2 linked regions of the Arabidopsis thaliana genome follow. The protein of the gene in region 2 interacts with the protein of the main gene of each other region in a pairwise test. Each region holds a gene or a part of one and is shown on either strand. Other genes may lie near its edges.

Evidence for each region. Proteins that work in one complex are often made in the same cells at the same time.
Region 1: the proteins of SPK1 (region 2) and AT2G34150 interact in a two-hybrid assay, tested with the Arabidopsis thaliana proteins (one study listed by BioGRID).

What each region holds. Positions count from the first base shown.
Region 1 is NC_003071.7:14,418,762-14,425,226, forward strand, and holds AT2G34150 (SCAR family protein), read right to left. Parts: upstream 4,711-6,465; 5' UTR 4,499-4,710; coding exon 4,344-4,498; intron 4,101-4,343; coding exon 3,937-4,100; intron 3,931-3,936; exon of another isoform or gene 3,645-3,930; coding exon 3,521-3,644; intron 3,414-3,520; coding exon 3,317-3,413; exon of another isoform or gene 3,286-3,316; coding exon of another isoform or gene 3,226-3,285; coding exon 3,158-3,225; intron 3,080-3,157; coding exon 1,483-3,079; intron 1,396-1,482; coding exon 1,300-1,395; intron 931-1,299; coding exon 826-930; intron 731-825; coding exon 671-730; 3' UTR 502-670; downstream 1-501. UniProt on the Arabidopsis thaliana protein: Involved in regulation of actin and microtubule organization. Part of a WAVE complex that activates the Arp2/3 complex. Regulates trichome branch positioning and expansion.
Region 2 is NC_003075.7:9,238,615-9,243,407, forward strand, and holds the start of SPK1 (guanyl-nucleotide exchange factors;GTPase binding;GTP binding protein), read right to left. Parts: upstream 3,016-4,793; 5' UTR 2,983-3,015; intron 2,786-2,982; 5' UTR 2,447-2,785; coding exon 2,369-2,446; intron 2,293-2,368; coding exon 2,130-2,292; intron 2,050-2,129; coding exon 1,958-2,049; intron 1,866-1,957; coding exon 1,753-1,865; intron 1,663-1,752; coding exon 1,607-1,662; intron 1,514-1,606; coding exon 1,416-1,513; intron 1,287-1,415; coding exon 1,149-1,286; intron 907-1,148; coding exon 595-906; intron 1-594. Other genes in the region: CBL6 (calcineurin B-like protein 6), read right to left, coding at 3,891-3,966, 4,045-4,157, 4,249-4,382, 4,464-4,572, 4,644-4,703, 4,788-4,793. UniProt on the Arabidopsis thaliana protein: Guanine nucleotide exchange factor (GEF) for Rho and Rac. GEF proteins activate small GTPases by exchanging bound GDP for free GTP. Controls actin polymerization via the two heteromeric complexes WAVE and actin-related protein (ARP) 2/3.

The sequences.
Region 1 (6,465 bases), on a different chromosome or scaffold from region 2:
TTTAGACTTTTTAGTGTTTGTGGTTGCATCTTTTTTGGTAAATCTGGCTGTCTCGCCAATTTTGCTTTGCTCTAGTGATCCAATCAAAATAATTTCTGATTCTCTTTCTTTTAGAAATAATTTTTCCGAACATAAAAGTTTAAGAAATTTAACTTTAATAACGAAATTCATTATGTATAAAATAATTCTCGTGAAATTGTAAGAACTAAGAAGCATATCAAATGCTTATCTTTGATCAAAAAAAAATAAAAAATGCTTATCTTTTGTTGTATCAGATAGAAAGTGAAAATATTTAAAGAAGTGTACAAACAAGGACATAATCTTTTTTCTAGTGTGTCAAGTACTGACTCAAATTAAAGAACACAGCGAATTTCACGGCTTAGGGCTTCGGGTACTTATATAGTACTAATGATTATTTTCCAAGATCCTATATTTGCCAACTCACGTTTTAATGTATACCTAAATAATTTGTTTAAAAAAATAATTAATTCAGTTCTTTTGTTTGTTTAATTATCAATAATCATCTAGAGATTCAGACGTAACATATTCTATAATTATTTTATTTTTCAGAACCTTATCTCTTTGTTGAAGATACAAATATAAACGTACGACAAAATCGACCTATATCTACTACACAATAAACATATGAGAACCGAAATGAATGATGTTGTCATGTGTCGCTATCGCTCCATGTATCGCTTTCGCCTTCTCCATCGTCGCTTGCTACAGCCTGATATAACAAGTCCGAAATGTAAGTGCTTTAATGACCAAAATGGTACTTGCAAACTGAAACGTAAGATTATAAATGTGAATAATGTATGGAACCTGTCGGATAGAGTTTGCCTTCTCTAGAATCACGCTAATATTGGTGTTCATTGTAGTTTCTGATGATGATGTCTTTGTCCTGACCACACGTCTCAAGTTGAATTGCTGTTATGATTCAAAAGGTTGTTGTTGGTTAAGAAAAATGCATTTTATGACTTTGTGGAAACAGAAATGAGAATTGGAGGATCAAAAAATCATTTCTCCCATTTCATTCCTATACAAACGAAACTAAAAACATGTTCAAAATATATTTCCATTTCGATTAAGAGGGAACCGGGACAAAAATGAAATACGAAAACAAATGTATATATTTTTAGTTTTAAGGGTTTGAGTTTTTTTTTTTTTTAATTATCGATTATGTAAATATGTTCCTTAATAAAGGTTACTTTGAATTAATAGAATAGGGAATGCATTTTCATATACCACAGAAATTTTCTATATAGCTAAAATATAAAGCAAGAATAAAAGACTCACTTTAGTTCGAATTTGATGCAAGAAGTCTCCAGCTTCTGTCTCATTTGTGTTGCCATGACTTTGCTTATAATCCCTCACATTGTTCTTCAGATGTACCTATCAACCATCACATAAAATACCTTATACCAAAAAGATGAAAAAAAAAAAACAGTAAAAAGGAGAAGAAAACTTAATTCTCCATACCTTGGTTACAAGTTTAGGATCAGAAACAGTGACAATGTGTGGTTCTTTTTTCTTGACTGCAGTTAAAGAATTGTTGTTCTTCTCAAATGCCTGTGTGAGAGCATCCTTTAGAGACTGCTTGTTGTTATCCTCGAATCCAGCTGACGGTATTTTCGAAACCATCCACTGTAACGGTGGGAGAGGCGGTGGTAATGGCTCAGCTGGATTTTGGAGGTAAGAGACATTTTCAACTAAACAACCATTTGTTGTTTCAATCTTTGGAAATGGAACTGGTAGAGAAGAAGCTTCAGCATTGACTCTGTGAAACGAATCATAGAGCTCTTGTTGCCTCTTGCTTTCTCGGATACCTTCTGATTCTTCTTCCCACTGTTGCTCAGACATTGACACAGAGCGATTGTCATTGTCACTGTTGTCTGAAATGTAAGAAGAAGATCTACAGAAAGTGTCCTTGTCTGAATCAGAATCAGGAAGTGAAGTAGCAATAGTCTCTGGCACCAACTGAAACGAAGAAAATGTATATTCATCTGGAAGTTTTAGCTGTAGTTCAGAACTTGGCAAGGTTTCTGAGGATTTGAAAGATATTTTCATGTGATCAAGTGGAGGAGATGAAGTAAACCAATCAAAAGGAGCCTTATAATCTTCTCTTAAGTGCTCTTGGAAGGTTTCAGAATCAATGTCTTCAACAATCTCTGGAATAGTTTCTGCTATAATTTTCGGTTTCGATGGTTTCAGTCCTAGGAGATTTCCATTAGTCCATGTTTTAATGGATTCAGTGTCACAAGAACTCTCAACTTCTTCTGATTCTTGATGTTCTTGGATACCACTAATATCATACAAAGGATTTGAGAAGCCATTGGAATAACTATGAGTGCCACTACTTATTTCCGAAGCCGCCCATGGATCTTGATGAATCAGTTCATCAGATTTATATACCGGTGATGATGATAAATGTAGCTCTGATGTAGCAGCACATTTTGTCTCATCAACACTAAAGTTGTTAGAAATCTTCTCTGTTTCTTGCTCTGTAATATCATTGTAAAGATTCTTCTGCACCTCTTTAGTGGCTTGGAAAGCTTCATCATTTTCAGATTCTGAATCGATGGTGTAAAGTGCATCAACAAAATCATCCCCTTCGCTTTCAGTCTCATCCTCATTGTCCATTTCCAGTTCCTTCGGTTTGATATCTTGGACCGCTTCAACCGCTGAATGTTCTTTAAGTCTTGATACCGGTTCAGCATCCAAGACAAAGTTAGTTTCCATTACTTCAGGAGCTTCATCTGTTGCACACTGCAGAACATTGCATTCCACTATCTCAGCTTTCTCGTGCCAACTAACACTAGAAGAACCACGAGCTGTTAAATCTTGAGAAGGACTATCACTTTCACTTTCACTTTCAGAAAGAACTGAAGCAATGGTGCGAGAACCCGGTGTAAACCTTGAAGAAGAAGATACCCTCTTCGGTTTCTCTCCACCACTTCTTGAATCGAAAGAGAAAGAACGATGCTCTTGCAAGTCGGATTTCGACTCAATTTCAATCGTTGAAGCAGTTTTAGAGGTAGAGGTTCGTCCACTGAAGCTTAAAGAAGTACATGTCTTCCTGAACATCATATCATATATTCATGTTTTGAGTCATATATGAAAACATCTCTACAATGTCAAATCCAAATGTCATTACCTGTCACTCTGGTTAGCCACAGAGGCAAGTCTTGATATATCTCGACCGCGTTGTATAGATTTTTTCTTCTGCATCATCCATACAAGTTTAGGTAGCAAACAAGAAAAAGAAGAAACTCTACAAAACATGGTATTAACAGACTGAATCTCTAAAACAAACCTTAATCTCTGAAGGTTTAGAAGCTCTTGATGCTCTTTTGAAATGAGTAGGATCCGAGTATCGTTTCAAACAAGAACCTGGACCATTTATATCAAATCTGACAAAAACCGCTAAGAATCAGCATCATATTTATTATCATCAGTCTAAAACATAGCAGAAACAGTAATAACAAAAAAGAAAATGAGAGTTAAAAGGTGTATATACTTGTCAAGCAAGTGTAACCGCGGAGGTTCCCGGCAATCTTCATATGGAGTCATAATAAACGGTGGCAATTCGTCATACATAAAGTGATTTTGCACATTTGGTATACGAGGATGCCACTCCAGACCTAAAACAGCATGTAAACACTATGTTCATTAACTATACTTAAATTTTCTAAAGAACTCAAATAGTGAAAGATCATGACTTATTTAATTAAGATCCATAAGAAAGACTACTAGTATCATTCATCATCAAATTCTAAACTCAAAAAAGAGTATTTTAAGCTAAGAAGTTAGTGCAAAAGGCATGTGAGCTAGGGCCTACAATAAACTCAACAGGATATAAATTTTTGATTAAAGAACAAACATGTGAATCTAGACATTAAAGAAGATTGACAAGAGAAACAAGACAAAAGAAACCTCCAGTGTATGCAAAATGAATGTGATTTGTTTGTGCAAGCACTGTCTTTTGGATTGTAGGAACTTTAGCTTCTATTTGCTTCAATCTCATCTTCAATTTGTTGCTTCTTGATGCTGTTATCATTACCTCCTCTTGTATTCCATGGAATATCTCTGCTGCGAATCTGAAACAATGTGAGTTTAACATAAAAACTCAGGACAAGTAAGATTGGCTGAGAACCATAAAATAAGCAAATGAAGAAGACCAAACACAGCAAAATTAAAGATTTTACAGAGAATCAAAGAAGATCACTGACTCCATATTGTCACATTTTTACTTAAGATTTTTTTTTTTTTAAAAACATTTATAAGTCAATTATAAAAAAAAAGAAACAGAGGAAACAGAGTTGACTTAAAGTACTACTTACTCTGTGAGATCACCGAGTTGACGCAAGATCCCGACGAGTCCAGAAACGGCGACGTCGTCGAGAATCGCTTTAGGGTCTTCACGGTCGACTTTTGTGTGAAGCTCTTTTTGCCCTAAACCGTAGACATTCCTAACTTGGAGCCTAACAAGCGGCATTTGCTCTGTTCTTGAGAAAGATTCCGGAGGAATGATCAGATGGGTTTTGAAGATAAGAAACAAAGATTGAGTTTTTGTGGGTTATGTTGCTTGAGGTGGGTGAGAGATTATGGCAGCTTAACCGCCGAAACGAGAGAGAGAGGGAAAATTTGGAGATTACAAAAAGGTTTTTCGTTGTAAAAAGAGAAAAGAGAGACTCGGAGACATTGCTAACACCGCAAGCCATTCCCTTTTTCAATGTCATCATTTTAACTAAAAGTGCTAAGAGAAAATTACGAAAAAGGGCTTGGAGCAAAAAGAAAGGTACCCATAACCTACCCATATGGAGCGAATCATGATCCAAATTAGTCATTTGTTACTTACATAATTTCCCGAAAATAAACTTTAGTTTTTATAAGAATTTGTTAGTGCTAAACATAAATTATTTAAAAAGAACTATAAACATTTTTAGTCATGTGTATAACCCCTACTTGTAATACTATATTTGTATGCTTAAGTCATCTAATGAGAACTTACTCTGCTTAATCTTCTACTACTAGCTACTAAAACAAAAAACTTCTACTACTTGTAATATTATATCATATACATTTTGCACAAATATGGAGTATAAAACTAGAAGTTAAAGTTTGGATCATTGAATGAGCATTTGAAGACTTCTATTATAAAATAGAAATGCGTTACAGTTTAGATAGCGTTAAAGTTTGAATCATTGAATGAGAATTTGGTCGTTTGCGAGGAAATAGACTTGTTGAGTTGGCTACATATTTATTGGAGAACAAAACTCCCATAAATGAGGCATCAATACATACGTAACACTTGTACTCAAACTCTATAGCTGTGATTTGTTTTTGTTTTTGACACCAACTATATATGAATGATGATGGTACAATTCAAAGATTTTCATAATGAATCTAGTAAAGCGGAAGTGTATGTATTGCCGTAATGGTGTGCCTCTCGCATCCTTGATCTATACAATCAAGTTTGATGTTACAAGAGTTGCATAATATCTTCCATCTACACACGCTGCGTAGTGTGTGCGCGTGTGGGTGAATGTATTCATACATCTATATCTTACACTACTTGAGGACTTGCACACATGCATGTGGATGTGTGACTTACTCCATCCTCGTTTAGGCATATATACACAATAATAAATCATGCACAAGCATTTTAGATCTGTGCTTCTAGAGTTTTGGATCTGGCTCCCATTAACCAAAGCAATTTATCAACTCGAATTCTTTTGTCGTTTTTCTTGATACTAACATATAAATACATTTTATTTATAAACTACAGTTCAGACATATGGATCGAAGATCCACAGTACTACTCCAGTACTCCATACAAGCTAATACACAGTATTAGAAGTAATCAATTCTTATGGTCCTTGGTAGGTATAGTATTATTAAATAAGTGATGCGATTAGATCAATGCATGACTTTTAGCTGGTCGTCTATTTATGGATGCTACCTAAACATAAATTTAATCACATGTCATTTATTATTTATTATTACTCCTAAATTGTTCTGTCCATTAAATATTTTATAAGTTGTTACTTGCTACTCCTATCAACCATTAATGGTAATCTTTGACGCAGATTCTATGAGCTATACTATTGCATTGTTTTCCATCATATATTATCAATCACAAGTAACTCTTCACAAAAAATGGCGGTCAATAAAGTGACACTTACAAAACTCAATGGTTTAAATAAAAACTACAACATTGCTGAAAAATATACATAAATTTTAAACACGAAATTGGTTAACAAAACAAAATTGGCGGTCATCTCATGTTTTTTTTTATATCATAGTAAATCTCGAAATGTGCTTTGATTAAAGATCAGACCATCGAATGGTGCACTAGCATTCTCATATAATTTGACATATAAAATAGTATAAGTAACAATATACTAATATAGTAGTAGTATATTAATCATTTGCATAAATATAAAACAAGAATTGGTCCAA
Region 2 (4,793 bases):
AGATTCCGTATGTCCAACTGATCAAGACAGTTTAAAGAGATTTTAGATATGTATTTCCTCCAGATAAAAGCAGCAATATACAGTAAGATGTTATATCAATAAAAAGCATTCCAGTTATTTGTCTGATGACGTTACCAAACACGATTCAGATCTGAATTTTTTTGTGTGAGTAAAAGAAGAGAGAGCTCGGAAATCTTGTTTTCTTGTGATGTATTTAGTAATATACTTATAACTAACTACACTTCAGAAGGGAAAACAGAAATGAAGAACTTCTATTCCTCAAAACTTATGAATTAAACACCATGACCTAATTGTCAAATGCTACCAAAATTGATTCATTCAAATAGAAAACAAAAAAAAACTGTTATCAATTAAATACAGAAGTATTTTGTCAATCGACTGTGCATGCAACTCTACTTGCTTAGATACATATCCAGTTCAGGAAAACCCAACCAAAGTGTACCTAGCAAGTAGGATTTTCAAATTGAACAAAATCTATGAAAAATGTTCCACACCATGTGAAGTTCAAAGCACTGTAAATACAATCATAAAGAACATGGTAAAAACTGTGGGATTTGATAAGAAACATCCTACCTGAATGGACTCTTCAGAGTAGCTCTCTTTAACTTTATTTAAATTAGATATTTCAACTACGACAGAACTTCCACCTGAATAACCTTGCTTTCCATCTGATGTGATCTTTGCAATTGGTTCATAAACACCATCATGGGAACTTGACGCAGTCATACTAGGAGCAAGAGGACTGCTAGGGGAAGCAGATTCACCAGTGTTTGTGGTGAGATTATTATCAAAAAGCGGAACAACTGCCCAAGCAAAAGACTCTCGGTAAGGCATAATGCGAGACCAGACCTGCAACTTTTGCTTTTCCCTCTCAGTTAAGTGCACCTGATTCACATAAATAGGGTAATTACTAATTGTTATATCAAGATCCAGCTATCACCATGACTACTCTAAAATATATATCAAAACAAAGAGTAAAGACAGATGATATATGCCATTATAAGTCACAGGCTATCTCCAAGTTACTCCAAATAAATGTTGAAAGACACAATCTCTAAGACCAAGGCATTCACATGAGCAAGAGACTCTAGAGACAGTAAGGGAAAATTCAGGATTTTGGAAATTACAGGCTCTTTACGGGAATAGACAGATGATGTAACGCCTCCTTCCTCAGTTGCTGTTTTTTCTAATTGAATAAGCAGGCAAACTGATGCTGATGGGGCATCTAGATAAAATACTCCACGATTTTCAGATGAAAGTTTAGCCTGCAAGAAAATGTACAAGGGGCGGCAATTTCGCAAAAATGACGTGAGAAAAAACTGAAATCACCTTTTATATAATCATGAGAAGGGAAGAGGCAAAAAGAGGACAGTTGGCTCTAATCAGTTACTTACATCCTGCATTTCCGTCGGCTGAATCTGGAAATAAAAATCCTCAGAGAGTTTCTCCTTCCTCTCTTGATTGTACAATGCAATCGAGCCAAAAAATGGTTCTGCAGGGATGCAAGAGAAATAAAGAAGGAACTTAAAGAAGTTGAAATAACTAAAATTACAGAAAATAGACAGCAGTTAGTCAGAATCCTCACCAACTAAGCCAGACTGAAAAGCTAGAGACAAAACTCTGACAGAGATCTTCAATCCACTGTGAAGATAATAAAGAGGAACAGAAGTACAAATCAGACAAAGATAATAAGATCAGGTAAAGCATAGTGACATGCAAAAAAAAAAAAACCTGGAATAGCTAGCTGCAGGAGATTCAGGAGTTCTCTGACCAAAAATCATAGCTCTTTCATTTTCCCAGTCAAAAGCTGGTTCATAAGCAGGTAAAGGAGGTTGCCCAAAATGCTGAAAAAAAAAAAAAAAAGCAACACCTTCAAAGTAAGAACCAAAGGATGAGAAATATATAACAGAGCAATGAAGTGAGTAAAAGAAGACACCTTAGAGGATCCAGGATCAGAAAACGGCCTCCCGGAAATACTGGCAACATCCTCCTCAATAGTTGCACTCCTGGCACTAGCAAGACGAATCTCTGAAGAAGCAGAGAGTTAATTGATGTACAATAATTGACAAAAGCAAAAAAAATAAAAATAAACAATGCATCATAGTTACCAGTCTCAGTATCAGTATCAGGTCCTTCAAAAATCTGAGTCTGGAAAGAATCAGGTCGAATATTTTCATAGTGACCGTATTTGTTAACATCTTTAACCCATTCAGTGCCATAACATTGAACCAATTGATTCAAATGTGGCCATTGTTCCAGATTCTCATCAAGCTGAAACAAAAGAGAAGAAACACATTAACGAAAAGAGAGAGAAAACGCGAATAAAGGTTGAGGAGAGTTTAATTACCAAAGGATCGAGCTTAGGGAGAGCAAGAGGCTGACGAGGTAGCTTACGAAATCGAAGACCAAGATTGTTGTTCTCCATTGAGATAGATCTAATACAATGTGAGGTACTACTACGCCATTAGAGAGAATTGGGGATTTGTGAAAACCTAGAAATGGGAAAAGGACATTGTTGGAGTAGTAAGTAGATCTGAGTGGGGGAGCTAAAGGAGGAGAGGAGGATGAATCTTTGTCTTTACGCAGAGAGGAAGAGATCCGTGAGAGGAAGCAGTTGGGAGAAAAAGTGAAGATTACTCAAGAGGAAAGCAAAAGTCGAGCTGGAGCTGTAAGTCCAACAAGAGTCCAACTCTACTGTCCCTTTTTTCTTTTTAAATAACAAAAGAGTCAATCATTGGGACGACCAAAGACGATGATACCTCACCTGAACCAACTTAAAGAATTGGAGTAAGTAGTAACCATTTTCACCAAAAGTCATTCCAATTCTCATTATACCAAACAAAATGGAATTAGAAAGTATACGGCTAAAGAATTTAGTTGTCACACTTTATTGAAATTAGGATTGTTGATTTGTTTCTACGGATTCATGTTGAGATAAACCGTAAACGAGTTCATAGTTACCTTTGGTATCTATGAATCGGTGAATCCCAATCTTTAGCCATTGTTTCAGAGTTGTTGCCATTATAGTCTACCATTGCGGCCTTTTTATATATCATTCATGTTAGCATTAGGGTTATAATTTCTAAAAATTGATCACCTCTTTAACTTGTGCCTAGAATGTTAGGCAGACCCAGCCAAAAAATTAAGTGGGTGAAAAAACGTTACACTGGTTAACATAATTATTGGGCTTCGTGGCTTCTCTCTCGTTGACGGAGAACTTAACGGTGTGTGATTCCAAGTCGGATTAGAACCTCCGTTATATATCAATGGGAGTTTTGGCCGCTTGTTGCTGTTGAGTTGTGTTGTCTTTGATTGAAACGACGGCGTATACGTCCATTTTGTCCGTGACATATTCGATATGGTTGACGTCACTAGCTGATACAATTTTGAGCTCAAGAGTTGGGTTCTCCACGGCTCTTTGCAACTGTGATGAAGATATTTTCGAGAGATCTAGTATTGTTTGTTCTAATCTTGGGAAAATGTCCAAGTATACAATGATCTATGAGATTCAAGTTAACCAGTTTCTCATTCACATGAATCTTTCCTTTCTCATGTTAAAACTATCTCGCCATTTGGGTTCCCTGTAAAATATGGTTGTCCGGATTTTACTCCAACTAACAAATTTAGATAGAAAGAAAGAAGAAGCAACAAAATAAAACTAATGCCGAGTAAAAGAATCAATTTGCACACTCCAACAGATAAGATAAACCGAACAAGTTTGCGGATACACAAACATGTGAGGTAATGCTGCTTTCAGAACGTATTTATTAAAAATAAAGAGGAGGGTTGTAATAGAGTAATGGAGAAGAAGATAAGAATCAAGTATGAATGATCTTGTAAAGGGTTTTGGTCTTTCTTCACATCCCTGATCATCCATCCAGCTCACTAGGAGTGTCTGTCACTATAGTGTGAAATACAAAATTTGGAAACGTCTTTGTTACGTCTCTACACAAAACACAACATACAAAAACATGTTAGTCCCGCACGAAGAAGATAATAAGGCAAATAACATGGCTAGCTTACTTGAGATGTTGAAGGCTCATGTTCTGTAACAGAGAGGGGTGGCGCAACACAAGACTCCTCCACTCTTCCTTATCAATCTTCCCGTCCAGTTTAGTATCAGCTTCTTCAAATGTCTACACACACCAATCAGTTTTTACATCTCTTGTCAAAGATTAAATATGAGAATCCTAGTTAGTGTCAATGGAGGAGATCAACCAAACCCACCTTGTCTATGATGCTCTCAATCACATGATCAGAAAGGTTCATGCCAGATTCAGCTAGAGTCCGCACAACCATTTGCTTCACCTCCTGTCTCTTTATATAACCTTGCTGATTCAGATCATACAGCTTGAAAGAGACTGCAGAGACAAAAGATGAGCTTGATCCAAGGTTTGGATATGACAAAAAAAAAGAAGGTCAAGTCTCTCTCGACCACTTACACTCAATCTTATCCTCAAATTTAGCATTAGGGTGAAAGACCGAAAGTGAACGAGCAAAGGCTTCAAAATCTAGAATCCCAGTATTCTTGGTATCAAACAAGTCAAACACCTGCAAAGCTTGAAGTATGAGTGTACAGCAAGGAAACTCATATAAGTGAGTTACAAGTCTATCTAATTTACCCTATCAGCAAAAAGGCTTCTCGTTGTGTTCATTTTGAATAGTACCAATTGAAATTGTTCCTGCAATATATTTGAAAGGATCCTAGTGAATGTAGAGGAACAGAGAGATATAGTACTCGTGTCCGACTATGGATTCTTGCATACCTTGTC